Linked DNA regions of Macaca fascicularis. The protein of the gene in region 1 purifies or fractionates together with the protein of each later gene. This does not show direct contact. Links are inferred from orthologs where the notes say so. Each region holds a gene or a part of one and is shown on either strand. Other genes may lie near its edges. The genes, in order: BACC1, HMGXB4, SMARCA5, SMARCA1 and BPTF.

Evidence for each region.
Region 2: the proteins of BACC1 (region 1) and HMGXB4 purify together in Homo sapiens (affinity purification with mass spectrometry; 4 studies listed by BioGRID and IntAct, with this or other methods). This does not show direct contact. The link is inferred for Macaca fascicularis from reciprocal best matches to the Homo sapiens genes BACC1 and HMGXB4.
Region 3: the proteins of BACC1 (region 1) and SMARCA5 purify together in Homo sapiens (affinity purification with mass spectrometry; 5 studies listed by BioGRID and IntAct, with this or other methods). This does not show direct contact. The link is inferred for Macaca fascicularis from reciprocal best matches to the Homo sapiens genes BACC1 and SMARCA5.
Region 4: the proteins of BACC1 (region 1) and SMARCA1 purify together in Homo sapiens (affinity purification with mass spectrometry; 4 studies listed by BioGRID and IntAct, with this or other methods). This does not show direct contact. The link is inferred for Macaca fascicularis from reciprocal best matches to the Homo sapiens genes BACC1 and SMARCA1.
Region 5: the proteins of BACC1 (region 1) and BPTF purify together in Homo sapiens (affinity purification with mass spectrometry; 5 studies listed by BioGRID and IntAct, with this or other methods). This does not show direct contact. The link is inferred for Macaca fascicularis from reciprocal best matches to the Homo sapiens genes BACC1 and BPTF.

Annotation. Positions count from the first base shown.
Region 1 is NC_088390.1:7,050,975-7,055,284, forward strand, and holds BACC1 (BPTF-associated chromatin complex component 1), read left to right. Parts: upstream 1-1,503; 5' UTR 1,504-1,563; coding exon 1,564-1,584; intron 1,585-1,767; coding exon 1,768-1,862; exon of another isoform or gene 1,863-1,984; intron 1,985-2,484; coding exon 2,485-2,586; exon of another isoform or gene 2,587-2,725; intron 2,726-3,207; coding exon 3,208-3,398; intron 3,399-3,616; coding exon 3,617-3,721; intron 3,722-3,775; exon of another isoform or gene 3,776-3,963; coding exon 3,964-4,028; 3' UTR 4,029-4,227; downstream 4,228-4,310. Other genes in the region: RNASEK (ribonuclease kappa), read left to right, coding at 376-452, 850-991. UniProt on the Homo sapiens protein: Component of chromatin complexes such as the MLL1/MLL and NURF complexes.
Region 2 is NC_088384.1:16,408,458-16,411,970, reverse strand, and holds part of HMGXB4 (HMG domain-containing protein 4), read left to right. Parts: intron 1-1,865; 5' UTR 1,866-1,933; coding exon 1,934-1,964; intron 1,965-2,627; coding exon 2,628-2,776; intron 2,777-3,344; coding exon 3,345-3,423; intron 3,424-3,513. UniProt on the Homo sapiens protein: Negatively regulates Wnt/beta-catenin signaling during development.
Region 3 is NC_088379.1:148,622,860-148,627,162, forward strand, and holds the start of SMARCA5 (SWI/SNF-related matrix-associated actin-dependent regulator of chromatin subfamily A member 5), read left to right. Parts: upstream 1-1,491; 5' UTR 1,492-1,714; coding exon 1,715-1,891; intron 1,892-4,303. UniProt on the Homo sapiens protein: ATPase that possesses intrinsic ATP-dependent nucleosome-remodeling activity.
Region 4 is NC_088395.1:135,737,528-135,741,040, reverse strand, and holds part of SMARCA1 (probable global transcription activator SNF2L1), read left to right. Parts: intron 1-2,324; coding exon 2,325-2,443; intron 2,444-2,554; coding exon 2,555-2,767; intron 2,768-3,513.
Region 5 is NC_088390.1:74,382,090-74,385,602, reverse strand, and holds part of BPTF (nucleosome-remodeling factor subunit BPTF), read right to left. Parts: coding exon 3,296-3,513; intron 1-3,295. UniProt on the Homo sapiens protein: Regulatory subunit of the ATP-dependent NURF-1 and NURF-5 ISWI chromatin remodeling complexes, which form ordered nucleosome arrays on chromatin and facilitate access to DNA during DNA-templated processes such as DNA replication, transcription, and repair.

The DNA.
Region 1 (4,310 bases):
AATGGGTAGCTGGGCCTTGTTTTCCCAGTAATCCACCCACCGCCACTTCAAGAAGAAATGATACGAAGAAGTGCCGATTCTCCCTCCCCTCTTGCGCACTGTCCCGTGATGATGACGCCTCCAGGGAGGACGATAATCTGGGTTCCTGGGAGAGAAGGCTTGGTCACTATTCCTACCCTTGCCTCGGCCACTTGTCTCAATGTCACCACCTCACGCCCTGTTCCAGGTGGCTGAGTCCGAATCCAGTAACCACCACCTCGTTTTGGTTCATCTTAGGCACGGGTGTGGTAGCAACATTAGAAATGGGAGGGGTTTACGAAGTGAACTTGAGGTCAGGTGCCTGAATTCAACAACCTACCCATTCCCCTTTTCCAGATAATGCTCGGAATATTTTTCAATGTCCATTCCGCTGTGTTGATTGAGGACGTTCCCTTCACGGAGAAAGATTTTGAGTAAGTATTCGGGTGGGGGAGGCGGGCTGGGATCAGGTGGGAGGTGGCGAGGTCAGATTACGTCTGGGAGGTCGGGTGCTTGGGGCCCCTAGGTTAGGGAACAGGGAGAGGACAGCTGCTTTCTTGAGAATGTGGTTAGGAGCTAGGGAGTCAGACCTCAGCGGCCATTCCAAACCCACCACTTTAGGTGTGGCCTCTTTACGTATTTTACTTTTCTGTGCCTCTCAGTCCACCTCTGCAAAATGGCTGCTATGACAGATCTCACCCCATAGGATTGTCAAGAAGATTGAATAAAGTAATACACGTAACAGCGCCTAGACAGGTGCTGGGCACATACTGCTCAGCAAACGTTGGCTGCTATTAACGTTTGACACCTTTGCTTCATTCCCACCCCCAGGAATGGCCCCCAGAACATATACAACCTTTACGAGCAAGTCAGCTACAACTGTTTCATCGCCGCGGGCCTTTACCTCCTCCTCGGAGGCTTCTCTTTCTGCCAAGTTCGGCTCAATAAGCGCAAGGAATACATGGTGCGCTAGGGCCCGGGGGCCCTTCCCCGCTCCAGCCCCTCCTCTATTTAAAGACTCCCTGCACCGCGTCACCCGGGTCGCGTCCCACCCTTGCCGGCACCCTCTGCGGGACTGAGTTTCCCGGGCGAGAGACTGAATCTCTTCTTCTCCCATCTCTGGCATCCGGCCCCCGTGGAGAGGGCTGAGGCTGGGGGGCTGTTCCGTCTCTCCACCCTTCGCTGTGTCCCGTATCTCAATAAAGAGAATCTGCTCTCTTATGCCCTGTGTCTGTGCTTCAGTGGGGGCGAGCACGGGGCTGAGGCTGGAGGTCGGCCTCTGCCTGGGGAGTCCCGACCCCTGAGCGGAAGTGGAGTGAAGTGGTGCGGAAGTGAGGCGAAGGCTTCCCCCTTGGCCTGGGCGCGCCAAGCTGTCGAAGCGACTGCATCTGATGGGGCGGGGAGCCACAGGGTTGAGCCTATCCGCTGCGGGAAGGGCGGGACTTCCTGCGCGGGGGCCTGAGCCGCTCCGTCTCCCTGCTCTCCGTGGTCCCGGCTCGCGTGTAGCGGCGGCGGCGGCGTCTCCGTGAGGAGGCGCGCGGGGCCATGACGTCAGCGTCCACAAAGGTTCGACCTCCCCCGCGGACAGCGCTCCCTGGCGGCCACGGGAGGGCGGGCCCCCCACTTGGCTCGCGGCTCTTCCGCCCCGGGCGGGGGGCGGGCGGGAGCCGAGCCTGGGGTGGGGCTAGGGGCTCCAGGCGGGACGGGGAGGGCGGGCGCCGGCCCCCCGTGACGCTGCCCCGCCCCCAGGTCGGAGAGATCTTCTCGGCGGCCGGCGCCGCCTTCACGAAGCTCGGGGAGCTGACGATGCAGCTGCATCCTGTGGCCGACTCTTCCCCTGCGGGGTACGTGAGCCCGGACTGGGACGTGGACGCTGAGAGCGGGCGCTTGGACTCGGTCACAGACACGGACCCTCTCTAGCACAGGGACAGACGTTAGTTTCCCTTTGTGCCTGGCACAGCACAGAGTAGGTGTTAATAAATGATCGTTGGATGAGGGAATGAATGACAGATAAAAATACAGACAGGCCTATGGCCCAGACTCCTATTTCACAGTTCTCCCTGCTGCGAACGGGTCGACCACAAACCACCGCCACTCCCAACCACCCCAGTTCATGGAATTCCCCCAGACGGCTGCAGGCTGTTGGTGGGTCTGTTTGAAAAGCCCTTCTTGGCGAGTTGGTTTCAGTGTGCTGTGTACAGCAGCCGTTTAACGTTCATGGTGGAAAGGGGTGTCTAAGGTGGAGGTGGTTGTGATTTCTTGTGATTGGGGTCCTCCAGGTTCCCGCAGGGCCCTCAAGAGCTTCCCGCCCGTCCCCCGCCCCTATGGAGGACCTCTTTATGCATCCGTGGAAGGGGTCCCAGAAGTCGGAAGGAGGCGGCTGGTTGACTGTGGGATGCATAGCCTGTGGGCTGGCTCCACACCCCCCCTCCCATTTTTGCTATCCCCCCTCTCCCCTTCTGACAGTGCGAAGTGGACGGAGACGGAAATAGAGATGCTGAGGGCTGCTGTGAAGCGATTTGGGGACGATCTTAATCACATCAGCTGTGTCATCAAGGAACGGACAGTGTGAGGGAGGGTGGCTGCCAGAAAAGGGCGGGTGGGCAGCCTTCTTCCTCCTTACCCAAGGTTCCATCGTCCTCAGAACTCCTTTCCAGCTCAGCTGCTTCCCTACTTTGTCACTAGTTTTTTAGAATGCCCTTGAGAACTGAAAGAACAGAATTGTCACAGTTGGTCAGAAGTTCCTAAAATGCTGTGGTAGTCCTTCCAAGAATGTGAATTTAGGTTGCCTGAGATGCTCAGTTATTGTATTTGATGATGGAAGTCCCCTGGTTATTTATATAAATTTTGGGGGACTCCACTGCAGTGTTTCCAGGGATATGGTGATCCTGAACTAGTTGATCAGTAAATCCCAATCCACCTGTAAATCACCAAGCCTTACCCGATGTCTCTCCCGGAAGAGAATGAGGAGATGGGCCTTTCCCACTACTCATCTCAGGGACTCCACTCTCCACATTCCACCCACCCTGAGTGAGTGTAAAACTTTGGGAAAGTGAGAACCCTCCCAATGGGCTGGGGCCCCGACCTGGATTCTTTTCAAGGGACTCCCAGAACCCCTTCACCTCCCCTCCCTTCTTCTGTTAGTCTCTCTGATGACTCCTTTCCTAACCTCTTCTCTCTTTTCTTCAGGGCTCAGATAAAGGCCACTGTGAAACGCAAGGTATATGAAGATTCTGGCATCCCCCTTCCAGCTGAGTCACCCAAGAAAGGGCCCAAGAAGGTGGCATCTGGTGTCTTATCACCTCCTCCAGCTGCCCCTCCTCCCAGCAGCTCCAGTGTCCCCGAGGCCGGGGGTCCCCCCATAAAGAAACAGAAGGCCGGTGAGGGCTGTGGACTTGCTACCTAGGGGTTAAAAGTCCATCTGAGGTTCAGTGAGAGAATTGGGCCTGGGTCAAAGAAGGGTCAAGCTCTCTTCCTGTCCCTGTGGAGGTTCCCAGAGAGGGGCAGAGGGGAGGGGAGGCACGAAGCTTTGGGAAGCTCGGGGCTGGGGGAGAGGCCGTCAGGGGAACCTAGAACCTAGCTTATGCCCCCTTCCCAGATGTGACACTCAGTGCTCTGAACGACTCCGACGCCAACAGTGACCTGGTGGATATTGAAGGGCTAGGAGAAACTCCTCCAGCTAAGAAACTCAACTTCGACCAGGGTAGGAGTCCTCCTCCTCCCACACAGCTGACAGGGTGGGGGAGAAAGGGCTCACCTGGATGGCAGGGCACGGTCTCCGCAGGGGCCCCTCCCTCGTACAGGGGTTTCGGAAGAGAAGGTGCTCTCATACACAGCGCAGGGCATTGGGTCAGTACGTAGCAGGGTGTTTCAGGGAGCTGGGAGTGGCCTCGGAAGCACACTGGGGGCTCGCTCCATCTCGGCCCATTTTACTTCCTGTTCCAGACAGCCTGACCCTGGATTCTGGCCTTCTCATGACCTCTGCTGATCCTCCTCTCCTCTCCTGCTGAGCCTTCCACCTCTGACCTCTCACTGTTCACGCTGGACCTGTGGATCTCCTGGGACTCCGAGCAAGGCCTGCACGAGAGAGGGCTGAAAGGCTGCTGGGGCTGCCACCTCGCTGTGCCCGCATAAGCATCTGCCCCCGACCCCCTTGACCTTCATCTGATGGACATTTTTATACAGAAAACAATAAAGATTTCCCTCTCAGCTTCGTGCTGTCTGCTTAACATTATTAGCAGGAGAGGGCTGTTCCCTCTTCTCTCCTCGGCCCGTGGGGGCTCAGCCCCTCC
Region 2 (3,513 bases), on another chromosome or scaffold:
CACCACTTGGGTGGAAAGGGGAGGACAGTAGTTTCCACTGAGAAACTTTCATCCTTAAATGCTGGAACATGAAAAACTGGCTACATTATGTATCTTGCCTCCTCACATTTTTATCTGAGGCCTGACCTTATGTCCCCTTCGTTTCCTGTGAAAAGGCCCTTCGAACAGGCAGTTCTCCAGTTTATCTTTAAAACAATCCAGTTAATGTAGTTTCATTACTCTAGCTTCTGTTACTTTGACCAAATCCATTCTTTATTTCACTTCTCAGAGAAGTGAAGAAATGCTTTATGTTTCTTTTCTTATAAATCGTTCTTCGTAATGCTTCATTTTCCTATTCAGGCCTACCTGTACATTGTATTTTATCTGATTTGTGCAAATAAGTCTTTTTAATGTAACTTATGAAAGCTTCCCTTGTTAATCAAATTCATCTTTTCTTTCACAAAAGTTCCATGCTTCAGTATTGTCCACAGTTGCCTGAAGGAATTAGTAATGTGTCATTTAAGTGTCCTTCAGTATTTCTAAGTCCCCTTATAATAATGAAGGTCAAATTAAATTTAAATAAATGATCAATTAGATTAACTTTGTAAGCATCTGACTTAACTGGATGAGAACATTGCCAAAATATTTAATATGTAATTTTAAATTTCCTGAAGGACTTGTGACATTACTTGTTCTTAAAACTTTTAAAGAACTTTACCTTGGCTGGGCACGATGGCTCACACCTGTAATCCCAGCACTTTGGGAGGCTGAGGCGGGTGGATCATGAGGTCAAGAGTTCAAGACCAGCCTGGCCAAGATGGTGAAACCCCCATCTCTACTAAAAATACATAAATTAGCTGGGCGTGGTGGCAGGTGCTTGTAATCCCAGCTACTGGGGAGGCTGAGGCAGGAGAATCACTTGAACCTGGGAGGCAGAAGTTGCAGTGTGCCGAAACTGCCACTGCACTCCAGCCTGGGCAACAGAGCAAGACTGTCTCAAAAAAAAAGAAAAAAAAAAAAAAAAACTTACAGTGCATTTTATAGCATTGTTATCGTCAAAGTCAAAATGGACATATAAACTCAAATGCCAAAAAAAGATTGTAAAAATTCAATAAAACTCAATACAATATCTAGAACATTTAAATTATAGCAATTCTTATTAGTGAAGATCTTATTAATCATAAAAGTTTTATGACCAGTGGACAAATGATAAATATCTCCATTTTCACCTAGCCTTTAAGAAAGCCTTGGTGGTGGTGACAGCTGTCACATGGTCAACTGATGTAAGGAGTGTACCTGCTTTTACAATTACATAAATTTGAACAAATTCATGTAACCCCCCCCCAAAATGCAAAAGAAATTATGCTCTAAAGATATTTAATATTCCTATACAGTTAATCATTTCTGTTTAAATTACAATGCAATAGATGTTACCAGTTCACCAATCCAGTTGGTAGGATTTTATGGTCTTCAAATGTTTGGTGTGATCTGTCTTCTCTGCATCTTGCTTTACCTGTGTATTTTATAACCAAGATTGAACCTATCCCTCTAACTTAATGTTGGTTTCTACCCTGTCTCAGTGTTGTCAGTCCTGTTGGCATTTCAGAAATTCTCATTAATTTTGAAAATATTTTTTGTATTGGAGGTATTTTATATACTTCCCCAAATGACAACTTTAATTCATGACTGAAATCTAATTAAGCCTAGTGTACTTCCTGCAGTATCAACCCCACTATATTTACAAAGAGAATGAGGAGGTGACAAGACACTCCTTTATTTCTTGCTGCCCTTCCAGTCGGCCCTTGGATCACTACACATTTCCATCTGGAAGGTTGCTTCTCCTCTGATTTCGCATTACAGGAGGGTTTTCCTTCTTTGTTTCTCAGACCTGGTCCTGTAGACGGGAAGGAGCCTGGACACAGTGACACATTCTCAAAGGCCCTGCAGGACCACCATGGCTTATGATGACTCCGTGAAGAAAGAAGGTATGACCCCATAATCTGAGAAGCATTCCAAAGGGGGTATCCTCTTCAATCCTTGCAGCCCATGGATATAGAGACCAGGACTGGGCACCACAGCCTGGACTCCCAAGTGATGGTCTAGAGCACTGTTATGACACTCAGCCTCCACGCCATCCCCAGACTGGGCCCATGGAAACGAAAACCAGGACAGGGGTTCCAACACGAGAGTCTGAAATATGAGTCTCTTAGTTTATTGGGGTGATCCCCTGCAGCACTCTTGGTCCTTGCCAGCTCCAGTGTGCAGGAGTCTGGGGATAGGAATCACATCCTGGACTCCCACAGAGAGCAGCACAGCACATGAATCATGAATCCTTATTCTTTTCAGCCTTTCGTCTGCAAGTCTGTGTCCACCTACCAAATCACAACTAAGAAATCATATCTGAGGTCGCACATGGGGCCTTTGCATAGCGTGGAAACATTGTTTCTTCAGGTTTGATTCTTGTATTTGCAGCCAGGTCATCAAGAAATATTCTGTTCCCCTGGGTCTAGCCCTGTATTTCAGTGGACTTGATTGAAACATTGTTTTAATTTGGAAATAGAGGAACTGTTGCATTACCTGCATGGTGATTTGGTCGTTACTTACTTGACTTTCTCATTTCCTTTCCCAAATAAACCTGTGCTTCTCAGATTGTTTTGATGGTGATCATACCTTTGAGGACATAGGACTTGCAGCTGGCCGAAGCCAACGAGAGAAAAAACGTTCTTACAAAGATTTTTTAAGGGAAGAGGAAGAAATTGCTGCTCAGGTCAGGAATTCTTCCAAGAAGAAGTTGAAGGTAAGTCCTAAAAATTTAAATTAGGAAAGTCTTAAACTACCTTTTTTTTTTTTTTTTTTTTTCTGATGCAGAGGGTTTTTTTGCTCTTGTGGCCCAGGCTGGAGTGCAGTGGCGTGATCTCTGCTCACTGCAACCTCCACCTTCCGGGTTCAAGCGATTCTCTTGCCTCAGCCTCCCGAGTCGCTGGGATTAACAGGTTCCTGCCACCAAGCCCGGCCAATTTTTGTATTTTATTAGAGACAGGGTTTCACCATGTTGGCCAGGCAGGTCTCAAACTCCTGACCTCAAATGATCCACCTGCCTCAGCCTCCCAAAGTGCTAGGATTACAGGCCTGAACCACTGCACCAGGAAAGTCTTAAACTACTTCTTACCATATTTCCTAATATTTGAAGAAGGAAGTGTTTTTTAATAACTTTAGAAAAGAAAAATAAAATGTTGTGTGCATCTGTTTTTATTATTTCTTGTGCTTTGTTTCCCAAAGTCAGAAATCATCAAAGACAAGAGTGGTTCCAAACTGCATTTGCCTCATCATCTTATTATTGGTCAATTCTTCTTCTTTAATTATAGGATAGCGAACTTTACTTCTTGGGGACGGACACACACAAGAAGAAGAGGAAGCACTCCTCTGATGATTACTACTATGGAGGTGAGGATGGGAATGGGCAACAGGTGGGATAAACACATCGCTGGTTCTTGGAGTCGGGGTAGGGGAAAGGGATCCAGATGTTGCTGACTC
Region 3 (4,303 bases), on another chromosome or scaffold:
CGGTTGTTAAAGGTTAATAGTTCATTTTCTGGGTGTACGATAGTTTTAAAGACGTAACTTTTAATACTGGATTCAGCCTACTGCTGTTAGCTTTTTGCAGTTACATATGAAGAGTATGATGAACATCATTGTAGGTATTTATCTTTGCACATATCCTTAGACATTTCCTTACAGTCTAAGAACTAGCATTTCTAGTGGAGTGGGGACATTTTTCCAGATGTCAATTAAAGAATTATTCCATTAGTTAAAAAATTTGCAGGCTATATATTCAAAGGAGATCCCTTTTGTTTGGAATTCAACATAACCAGTTAGCTCAAACCTCAACTCTTGAAAAATGTGCCTCCTTTATTCAACAAACATTTATAGAATACTGGATATGACGAATAAAAAAAGATAAATAAGACCCTGTGCTGGGCAGATAATCTACTGTAGTATGCAGATTTGTTATCAAATAGACTACAATGTATTTAAATTTTGCAGGAGATGAATGCACAAGGCCCTTAAGCTACATTGAAGGCTGCCTAAGGCAGTATACAAAATTAGTGCTGAACACTTGAGAAAGTGCGTTTTAATTTTAATGTTTGATGCTTGAGGAAAAGATTACATCATACCACCTATCTTCCCCACATACTATTTGTGTTTCTCACTTACATGGTAGTGTGCATGTTATTTGCTTACCTTTAGCATATAAATTCAGAAGAAATAGCATTTAACTCTGTGCTTAAAGAGGATATTTAGAAATAACTGACGCAGCTAACATGAGAAGGCAAAAAAACAAAACAAAAACCAAAAAAGAAAAAACTAACGGACTTTTTTTTTTTTTTTTTAACAAAACAGTGAGACGTCACTTGGGGTAACCATAACGTCGTCAAGGCTGTGGCGTCACGCCTCTAAGCGGATACGGCAGAAGTTTTGGGGTCAGACACAAGACTTCCAAGTTTGAATGGGCAGCGCAAAACTCAGGCAAGTTTTCCAGTAGTGCCGCCGATCCCAGCCAGGCCCGGAAGACACAACGAGAACCGTGAGCCGTTACGAAAGCCTAAAACACTGAGCTCGCGTCCTGCCAGACAGCAGACGCACAAACCTACGCCTCCGAGCGCTCCCTCGAGGTCCCGCCTACTCTTCTCTCCCGAGCCCGCTAGAGGTCTGGAGGAGGAGGGGCCAAGGGTGAGGAGGAGGGGCCAAGGGTAAGGAGGACAGTATGAGCATGCGCACTCAGTACCCAGTCAGTGAACCAATAAGGAATCTCGCGAGGGTTGAAAGTCGGTGGCGTAGGTAGTCGTCCTGGATGCTGGCGAGATAGACGATATCTGCCAGAGGAAGAGGAGGAGGAGGCGGCGAAGCGTTTTCCCAGCCTCAGTCTCTGTTTCGTTTTCCTTTTCCCTTCCCCCAACCCTCCGCCCTTCTCTAAATCAGCCCGCCTTCCTTGACCTCAGTGACCCGTCTGGCCCCGCCCATCCTCGTCGACGTGATTCCCGCCGTGAGGTAAGCGCCGGTGGAACCTAGAGCCCCGCGGAAGAGCAGAACGTCTGGGAGTGTGTAGCTCCTGGGCCCGGCTCAGGCCCGTCGCGGAGGCGCGGCGCGGGGGAGCGCTCGGGTGGGAGTCTCGCTCCTCCACCAGTTTATTGCGACGTAGCCACCCGGGCCTAGGCCTCCCCGTCCATCCCCGCCGGACTCGGCCTCTGGCAGCAGCGGGTGACGCAGACGGAACATCATGTCGTCCGCGGCCGAGCCTCCGCCACCCCCGCCTCCCGAGAGCGCGCCTTCCAAGCCCGCAGCCTCGACCGCCAGCGGCGGGAGCAACAGCAGCAACAAAGGCGGCCCCGAGGGCGTCGCTGCGCAGGCGGTTGCGTCTGCGGCCAGCGCGGGTCCCGCAGACGCCGAGATGGAGGTGAGGGCAGCTTGCGGCGTGGGGAGCGGGCGCAGCGGGGAGGAGGAGCTGGCTCCCTCGCCGGATCGTGGCGATCGGACGCAGAGCCGGGCTTCTCTCTCTGCACCAGACTCAGCTTCACACCCTGTGGATACGAAATGATGCTCTCACCCTTGCTCCCTTGTTCTTAACCTATTGGAGCCAAGCAAAATGGATTTCCGGCTCCTCACATTGAAATTATTTGTCTCTTTCGTGAATCTTGACAAATCTTTGAATGCTCTCAATGAACAGATGTTCTTGGTTACCGTGGCCCAGGGGGACCCATCTTTTTTTCGCACTAGACTCCCATAATTCCCTCTCCTACCTCTGAATGTGGTTTTTAGTTTCCACCAAACTTCGGGGAAGGGCGAGGAGATGACCCCTTAGGAGCGGGATGCACGGGCAGGGTGAAGGAGGCATTTAAAAGCAGCGCGTCCGAGGACTTGGGCCTCTTTTTCTTCTTCCCGGTCTTTGCGGGGGCGGTATCTGTTCTGGGCAGAAACAATGGCGAGAGCTGGATGGCCGAGTGCGCAGTGGGGATAAGCGGGGCGCAGCTGCTTCTGTGAAGGGAGAGGAAGCCCCTCCCAGGCACTGTTCCACTGGAAGGGAAGCAACCAAGGCAGCAGCAGCTGTCTCGGATCCCCCATCGAATTTAGGGGGGATGAGTAAGTGTAGGAATGAATTAGAGAACCAGGCGCAGTTGATTGGCTCTCAGTCCGGCACTTTTTCTCTTTTTGGCGTCTCGCCTTAAAAAAAAAAAAAAATTAGTACCACTCGGCTCCCGAGACTTCTGGGTTTGGGTTGTCCAGAGGATGCTGACGGTACTTAGGGGGCTGGAAAGATGGGGAAGCTGCCAGGCGGGTAAATTGGATATGCCTCCAGGCTTTGCAATATCTGGGGAAAAAGTAATTGCTCCTTCCAATTGTTATTCTTGGCCTTCGACCTGTTTTGAAATATTTTGTAAGTCGGAGCCCAAAGATTTCTGGGATTTTCCTATCCTTAGAATGAAGGTAATACTGCTCCGAAGATGAGTCTTGACGCACAATCGTTGTACAGTGGGGAAATGGGAGCGTAGTTTACCATTGAGGCATTTGGCACAGTAGTTTTATTTGGGTAGCTGGGGTTAGGTAACATTAATGTTAGTAATCTTTTAAAGAACTTTTAGTGTGAGGGTAGGTTTAGTGACATAGGAACTCCTGATGGTTCCTGTAGTTTTGAGTGATTAGGATAAGATTTCTTTCAAATTAAAATATATTCAGTGTTGCCTTTTTTCCCCTTAAGGAAATGGTTCTCTTGGGTTACCAGGGCTCTTTAACTTGAATTCGGTTCCAAGGCTTAAGGGGTTTGACACAAAGCAATTGTGTGTAAATGTGCAGTTCTGGACAAAAATCTGTTCATAGTTATCCTCAGCCTCTCAAAGGGGGGTCTGCCATCCAAACTTTGGAAAAATAAATTTTCACCAGAGGTCTTGTTAATATCTGAATACAGTAATTTTAAGCCAAAAGCAAGTCAACTTTTTTGACTTGAAGTTGTTATTTTAAATGAAAATTGATTTTAAGTTTAAATGTGAGTATAGATGATGTCACTACCGTATTAAATTAGTGATATTTTCATTTGCCAGATGGGGAATTTGAGTTCTGCTAGGTAGAACCTGTGATAAAACTCAGGTCTGCCTTTAAAAGTGAGCCTTTTCCCACCCATCTTACTCTGCCGTGTTCTTACCAAAAAAACGTATTTGGCAGTTCAATTTATTGAATAACATAGTTATTTTTACCTTCCTAGTATAGAAGTATTAGGAATTTTTTTTTTATCCATCTTATCACTGACTCATTTTGTTGTTGTTGTTGACAGTGTGATTTTTTTGTCTTAAAATGCACCGTCAGTTTCCTGTTCAGAATCACTGCAATTCATGATCAAAACTAAGTTTGAGCACACATGCCTAATATATGTCACAACTTAATCTGTTTTGCACTTGGAAAATGAATATTTTATAAATGACTTTTTCTTGTTTGGAAGTATGATCTAAGGTGTTTTTCTAAAATCACAGAATAAACTCAGCATTCATGAATTTTGTGTGTGTGTGTGTGTGTGTGTGTGTGTGTGTGTGTGTGTGTGGCAAAGCTGATTTTCCCAGAAATAGCCTGCCTATGTATTCAGTTACTTTTTTTCTTTTTGCATGATACTAACAGGTCAATGGAGCAACTTGTTTTTTAGTTATCCTTTTGGCAATGTGGAACTCTTCTGTGTTCATCCTCATCTTTATTGACTAGATTGATATGCCAATAATGATGATGTCAAAATGCCTGGAAGTCAGGTTTTTTGGTTTTTTTTTTTTAAACTGTGGAAGAAATAATGACTACCGTTGGAAAGCACATTTTATTTTTGTAGGTTGCA
Region 4 (3,513 bases), on another chromosome or scaffold:
TAACTGGTCCTCGAATCGTCTCCCTCTCTTACTCACCTGTGTTGTTGAGCTTGACCAGAATCAGTGTAGCTGCTGAAGCATATGGATTTTTTTTACACTTACTGGTTTATTATAAAGGATATTGCAAAGGATACAGATGAAGCGTGTAGGGCAAGGTATGGGCCAAGGGGCGCAGCGCTTCAGTGCCCTCCCTGGGCATGCCACCCTCCAGAAACCTCCTCGTGTTTAGCTATCCAGAAATCTTATTAAAAATAGGTAAATATGTCTAGCAAGTTTTCTATATGTAGTATATAGGACTTTTCTAACTTCCAAATAGGTTCAGCTCTTAAAATTATAATTTGAAACAAGATGTTTAGAATCTGGAGCATTTTTTGTCATTGAAACAATGGCAAAGTAGGTTTAAGTTTACAAAGTAGGTTTAAGTTTCTATGATAGCCCCTGCCCCAAATCTATTTAACCTAACCACTGAAATTCTGTTTTTGCAATAGTAGGAAAGAAATATTACAGTAACAATAAATATACTAAAGATTAATAATGGCTAGGAACAGCTTTTAATTTATCTAGCATGCTAGTGCTTGAAGAAATCCAGATTTAAGTAGAGAGATTTTTTTTTCTTCTGGAAATCTAAAAGGGTCTTCTGGGGGACTTTAGAGGTCAGTTGTATTGAGTTTTTATTACATATAACATTAAGTTTATGAACTTCCTTTTCCTTGATACCAGCATGACATTACTATTACTCTGAACATTTAGCACATAAATTTAGGGCATTTGGAGGCTTAGGGGAAAAAATAGATTGAAGAGAGAAATTTTAGCATCAAGAGTTGAATGAAAAGAATGTAAAAGGGTATGTGCAGAGAGATTTTTAAGAAGAATTTTCTTCAGAAGATAGACAGGGAGATAACATCAGTGTGTGTGAATTTGCAAGAAAAAATGTGATTTAAAAAGATTGTCCTGTCAGACATTCTTTCAAATTTGACACCAGGCCAGGTGGCATGACTAGCTCAGGACTATTTAATTGCTGCCTGCCAGGTTGGGGGCCATGTCACAGGGTGGGGACATTGCAATGAGTTTGTTGTAGTTGGTTACAGTAAGAGAAGAAATGTATACAATTGGCCACCCTTGAATATACAGTATCTTGTACATAGCAGTTGTTTAAATATTTGTTGAATGATTGAGTGAATGAATAAATGAACACAGGTGCTTATAAAAATCAGAGTGCTCACATACCTTTCTTGATAGGCTCTAAAAATGAAAAGCTTGAGGATGTGGAGTATGTCATTAAAAGGCCTTTCATTGAAGTCATAAGATGTGACATATTAATACAGCCAGATTATTTGGCTCATCTATAAAATCTGGTTGAGTGACTTGAAGTATTTTTCAGTGTGTATGCAATTAAAATCCCAATGAGGTTTTTTTTTTTTTTTTTTTTTTTTTTTTTTTTTTTTTTAATAATGAGAAAAGGGTATTCCAAGTAAGTTTAAAAACACACTATTGGTCATTGGAAATACCGTAAGATGATTACTGAGTGATTCCAAAAGCAAATGACAATTTCAGGAGAAATGGCTGCTCCATAGAAAAAATTTGAACAATCTGTTCATAATAGCTTGTTTTTTTTGTTTATTTGTTTGTTTTTGAGACAGAGTGTCACTCAGTCACCCAGGCTGGAGTGCAATGGTGTGATCTTGGCTCACTGCAGCCTCCACTTTCCGGGTTCAAGCAATTCTCCCGCTTCAGCTTCCCGAGTAGCTGGAATTACAGGCGCGCACCACCATGCGCAGCTAATTTTCATATTTTTAGTAGAGACGAGGTTTCACCAGGTTGACCAGGCTGGTCTCAAACTCCCAACCTCAGGCAATCTGCCCACCTCGGCCTCCCAAAGTGCTGGGATTACGGTGTGAGCCACTGCGCCCGGCTCATAATTGTTTTTGCATGCTAGGAAGCTATATTCACAGTTTATATATTGCTCTCTCCTGTGTCACTTTATGTGTTTGGTCCCTTTTCTATCATGTTTGAGTAAAAAGCCTATCTTACATCAGTGTCTGCACCATCTTTTGAAATCCTAGTCATTTGGGATGGATCATAAGATTCCATACTATTTCATGAAGGGAACATTGCTAGCCTAAAACCTTGTTGAGGTCTTATTTTTAAGTGAAAAGTTAGTAGTATTTAATAATTGAACATATTATATATATAAGATGAATGTGAATCTTAATTTTAAGAAGTACAAGCTTACTGCATTATTTCCCATTAATTCCTTATTCTACAATTCCTTGGATTTATTTGCTTAAATAATAGGATTGTAAAGAAATAACTCTGTTTTTCAGCTGTATTTTGGGAACGTTGCAATGAATTACAAGACATTGAGAAAATTATGGCTCAAATTGAACGTGGAGAAGCAAGAATTCAACGAAGGATCAGTATCAAGAAAGCCCTGGATGCCAAAGTACTATATTTTATGTCAAATTATTATTAGATCGTCTTAATTGATATGGTGGTCAGCTTTGACTTCTTACTGCACGTTCAATTAAAAGCACTATTTTGTTTAAATACACAGATTGCAAGATACAAGGCTCCATTTCATCAGTTGCGCATTCAATATGGAACCAGCAAAGGAAAGAACTATACTGAGGAAGAAGATAGATTCTTGATTTGTATGTTACACAAAATGGGCTTTGATAGAGAAAATGTATATGAAGAATTAAGACAGTGTGTACGAAATGCTCCCCAGTTTAGATTTGACTGGTTTATCAAGTCTAGGACTGCCATGGTATGTATTCCTTTCTTACCGATTTCCTCCAACTTTATATTTTGAAAAATTTCAGACGTCATATATCCTTCACCTAGATTCTTCAATTAACATTTTGGCACATTGGTGCTCTCTCTTTCTCTCTCTCTGTATATATATGTATACATATGCAGCACCTATACATACCTGTAGAATCTATACTTTGTATTAAAAATATGGGGGCATCTATATTCTATATTCTGAAATGCATATCTATAGTTTATATTTGTAAGTATACTTAACTATATTTCTGAACCATTTGAAAATTACTGACAATGTGAGTGTTCACCTCTAAATACTTAAGCATATATCTCCTGAGAATAATGACATTTTCTTACATAACCACAGTCCCACCTGAAAACATTGATTCAGTAATGTCATTTAGTATACAGTCCATGTGTAAGATTTTCCAGTGGTCCCCAAAATGCTCTTTATAGCTGTTTTTTTAAAATTGATGATCCTACAAGTTTCACACATTGCATTTCGTTGTTGGGTCTCTTTAATCTCTTTTAATCCACAACTTTTTGGTTTTCGTGATCATGACTTTTTAAAGGTGTCCAGGCTAGCTGTCTTGTAGAATGTCCCACATTGTGGATTTGCCTCATTACTCATTGTAAGATTTAGGTTCAACATATTTGGCAAGAGTGCTATGGAAGTGATGTTATGTATTTTTTATTGCATCCCATCAGAAGGCACATTATGTCATGTTGTCACACTGTTGGTGATGC
Region 5 (3,513 bases), about 67 Mb from region 1:
AGCTGGGTGAGGTGGCGGGCGCCTGTAGTCCCAGCTACTCGGGAGGCTGAGGCAGGAGAATGGCGGGAACCCGGAAGGCGGAGCTTGCAGTGAGCTGAGATCACGCCACTGCACTCCAGCCTGGGTGACAGAGCGAGACTCCGTCTCAAAAAAAAAAAAAAAAAAAAAATTTTTTTTGAGACAGAGTCTCGCCCTGTCGCCCAGGCTAGAGTGCAGTGGTGCACTCTAGGCTCACTGCAAGCTCCGCCTCCCGGGTTCAAGCAATTCTCCTGCCGCAGCCTCCCGAGTAGCTGGGACTACAGGCACCTGCTACCATGCCCGGCTTACTTTTTTGAATTTTTTTGTTTTTTTTTTTGAGACAAGAGTTTCGCTCTTGTTGCCCACGTTATAATGCAACGGTGCAATCTCAGCTCACCGCAACCTCCGCCTCCCGGGTTCAAGCGATTCTCCTGCCTCAGCCTCCTGAGTAGCTGGGATTACAGGCCACACCCAGCTAATTTTTTGTATTTTCAGTAGAGACAGGGTTTCTCCATGTTGGTCAGGCTGGTCTCAAACTCCTGACCACAGGTGAACCGCCTACCTCAGCCTCCCAAAGTGCTGGGATTACAGGATTGAGCCACTGTGCCCAGCCTTTTTTTGTATTTTTAGTAGAGATGGGGTTTCACCATGTTGGTCAGGATGGTCTTGAACTCCTGACCTCAAATGATCCGCTTGCCTCGGCCTCCCAAAGTGCTGGGATTTACAGGTGGGGTCACCATGCCCAGCCTTGAATTATAAATTGTAATCACTATTTTCTTGGGGTTTTGATGTAATAATCATATCGCACATGAAAACAACGTTGTCTTCTTTCCTCAATTTTTTGTCTTTTTGCCTTTTTCTTGGCTTAACACATTTGCCAGAACTTCCAGAAATGCTAAATAATAATGTCGATTGTTGGCATCATTGAGGATTCTGACTTTAACTGGAAGATCTCTAATGTTTCACAGTTAGGTAACATTATTAGTCTGGTTAATATTTTCTTACTATTTCTCACCTTTTTTTGGGGGGCGGGGGACAGTCTCGCTCTATCGCCCAAGCTGGAGGGCAATGGCATGATTTTGAATCACTGCAGCCTTCACCTGAGCTCAAGTGATCTGCCCACCTTGGCCTCCCAAAGTGCTGGGATTACAGGCATGAGCTGCTGTGCCTGGCCTATTTCTCACCTGCTTTTTTTTTTTTTTTTTTTTTTGCACCCCCAGGCTGGAGTGCAGTGGCTGGATCTCAGCTCACTGCAAGCTCCGCCTCCCGGGTTTACGCCATTCTCCTGCCTCAGCCTCCCGAGTAGCTGGGACCACAGGCGCCCGCCACCTCGCCCGGCTAGTTTTTTGTATTTTTTAGTAGAAACGGGGTTTCACTGTGTTAGCCAGGATGGTCTCGATCTCCTGACCTCGTGATCCGCCCGTCTCGGCCTCCCAAAGTGCTGGGATTACAGGCTTGAGCCACCGCGCCCGGCCTTCTCACCTTCTTAAAAAGTTTAGGACATGTTATGATTTTTTTTTTTTTTTTTTTGAGACGGCGTCTCGTTCTGTTGCCCAGGTTGGAGGGCAGTGGCGCAATCTTGGCTCACTGCAACCTCTACCTTCCTGGTTCAAGCAATTCTCTCTGCCTCAGACTCCTGACTAGCTGGGATTACAGGCACCAGCCACCACGCCCGGCTAATTTTTGTTTTTAGTAGAGACGGAGTTTCACCATCTTAGCCAGGCTGGTCTTGAACTGACCTCAGGTGATCCACCTGCCTTGGCCACCCAAAGTGCTGGGATTACAGGCATGAGCCACTGCGCCCGGCCTTGAAATGTCTGATAGCCTACTTCTCTTCTAAAAAGCTGTGTAATTATGTATAAGTTATATATATATGTGCATAAATAGATGTCTACTTTTTTTTTTTGAGACGAAGTCTCACTCTATTGTCCAGGCTGGAGTGCAGTGGCACAATCTCAGCTCACTGCAACCTCCACCTCCTGGGTTCAAACTATTCTCCTGCCTCAGCATCTCAAGTAGCTGGGATTACAGGTGCCTGCCACCATGCCCAGCTAATTTTTGTATTTTTAGTAGAGACAGGGTTTCACCACATTGGTCTGGCTAGTCTCAAACTCCTGACCTTGTGATCCGCCCGTCTCAGCTTCCCAAAGTGCTGGGATTACAGGTGTAAGCCACTATACCCGGCCCTACTTTTTTTTTTTTTTTTTTTTTTTTGAGACAGAGTCTCACTCTGTTCCCCAGGCTGGAGTGCAGTGGTGTGATCAAGGTTCACTGCAACCTCTGCCTTCTGGGTTCAAGTGATCATCCTACATTAGCCTCCCAAGTAGCTGGGACCATAGGTGTACGCCATCATGCTTGGTTAATTTTGTGTTTTTTGTAGAGACAGGGTTTCACCATGTTGCCTAGGCTGATCTTGAACTCCTGGGCTCAAACAATCTGTCTACTTTGGCTTCCCAAAGTGTTGGGATTACAGGTATGAGCCACCACAGCCAGTCTACTTTCATTTTTTAATAAATTCCTCTCGAAGGCAGGTTAGCAATACCTACAGAATCATTTACAAGTCAAAGAAGAAATTTTTCTTTTTTCTTTGTTTATGAGACAGGGTTTTGCTCTGTTGCCCAGGCTGCAGTGCAGTGGTGCCATCAGGGCTGACTGCAGCTTCAACCTGCCAGGCTCAAGTGATCCTCCTGCCTCAGCCTCCTGAGAAGCTGGGACCACAGCTGTGTGCCACCACATCTGGCTAACTTTTTCATGTTTTGTAGAGACGAGGGCTTGCCATGTTGGCCAGGCTGGTCTCGAACTTCTGGGCTCAAGTGATCTGCCTGTCTTGGCCTCCCCAAGTACTGGGAGTATAGGAGCGAGCCACCTCATCCTGGTGGAATTTGTCTTATTTAATGGACTCATGTTATTTTTCATTCTTTCAACGTTACTTCATCGTCTCCGTACCTTTCTCATGAAGCTCTGCTCCTAATTAACTTTTGGCCAGACTATGTCATAGACTTGAAAAGCTGTTCTCAGAGTTCTACAACATTTCAATCAACAAGCTCACCTCTCAGAGTCGCTAGTATGGAGAACACAATATAACTATACATTTAGTTATAAAAGCTCTGACTTGTTTCTTAAGACACACACGTCGCACTGCTTTTTACTCTACGTACACAGAGGCAAATTCCAGAAAACATACTGAAATTTGAAGCTTTATTAAAAAGGCAAGGGAAAAAAGCAGAACCTTAGATGCTAAACACTGGACACAGAAGAAAAGGGCATGCCCTCTTACCTGCACTTCAATTTGAAGATCCTTGTCCAGGAGTGCTCTCTTCTTCAGGATCTCGGCTCGGAGCTGCTCTTTGTGCTTGAAGAGCAGAGCTGACAGCTTAGTGGCATTCTGCTTGCTACGTTTCTGCTCCACACTCTCTTCACGCTTCCGTTTTTTTGCTGCCTGTTTTTCTTCTTTATCTATCTTATCCAAAATATACTTCATCACCTGGTTACAGA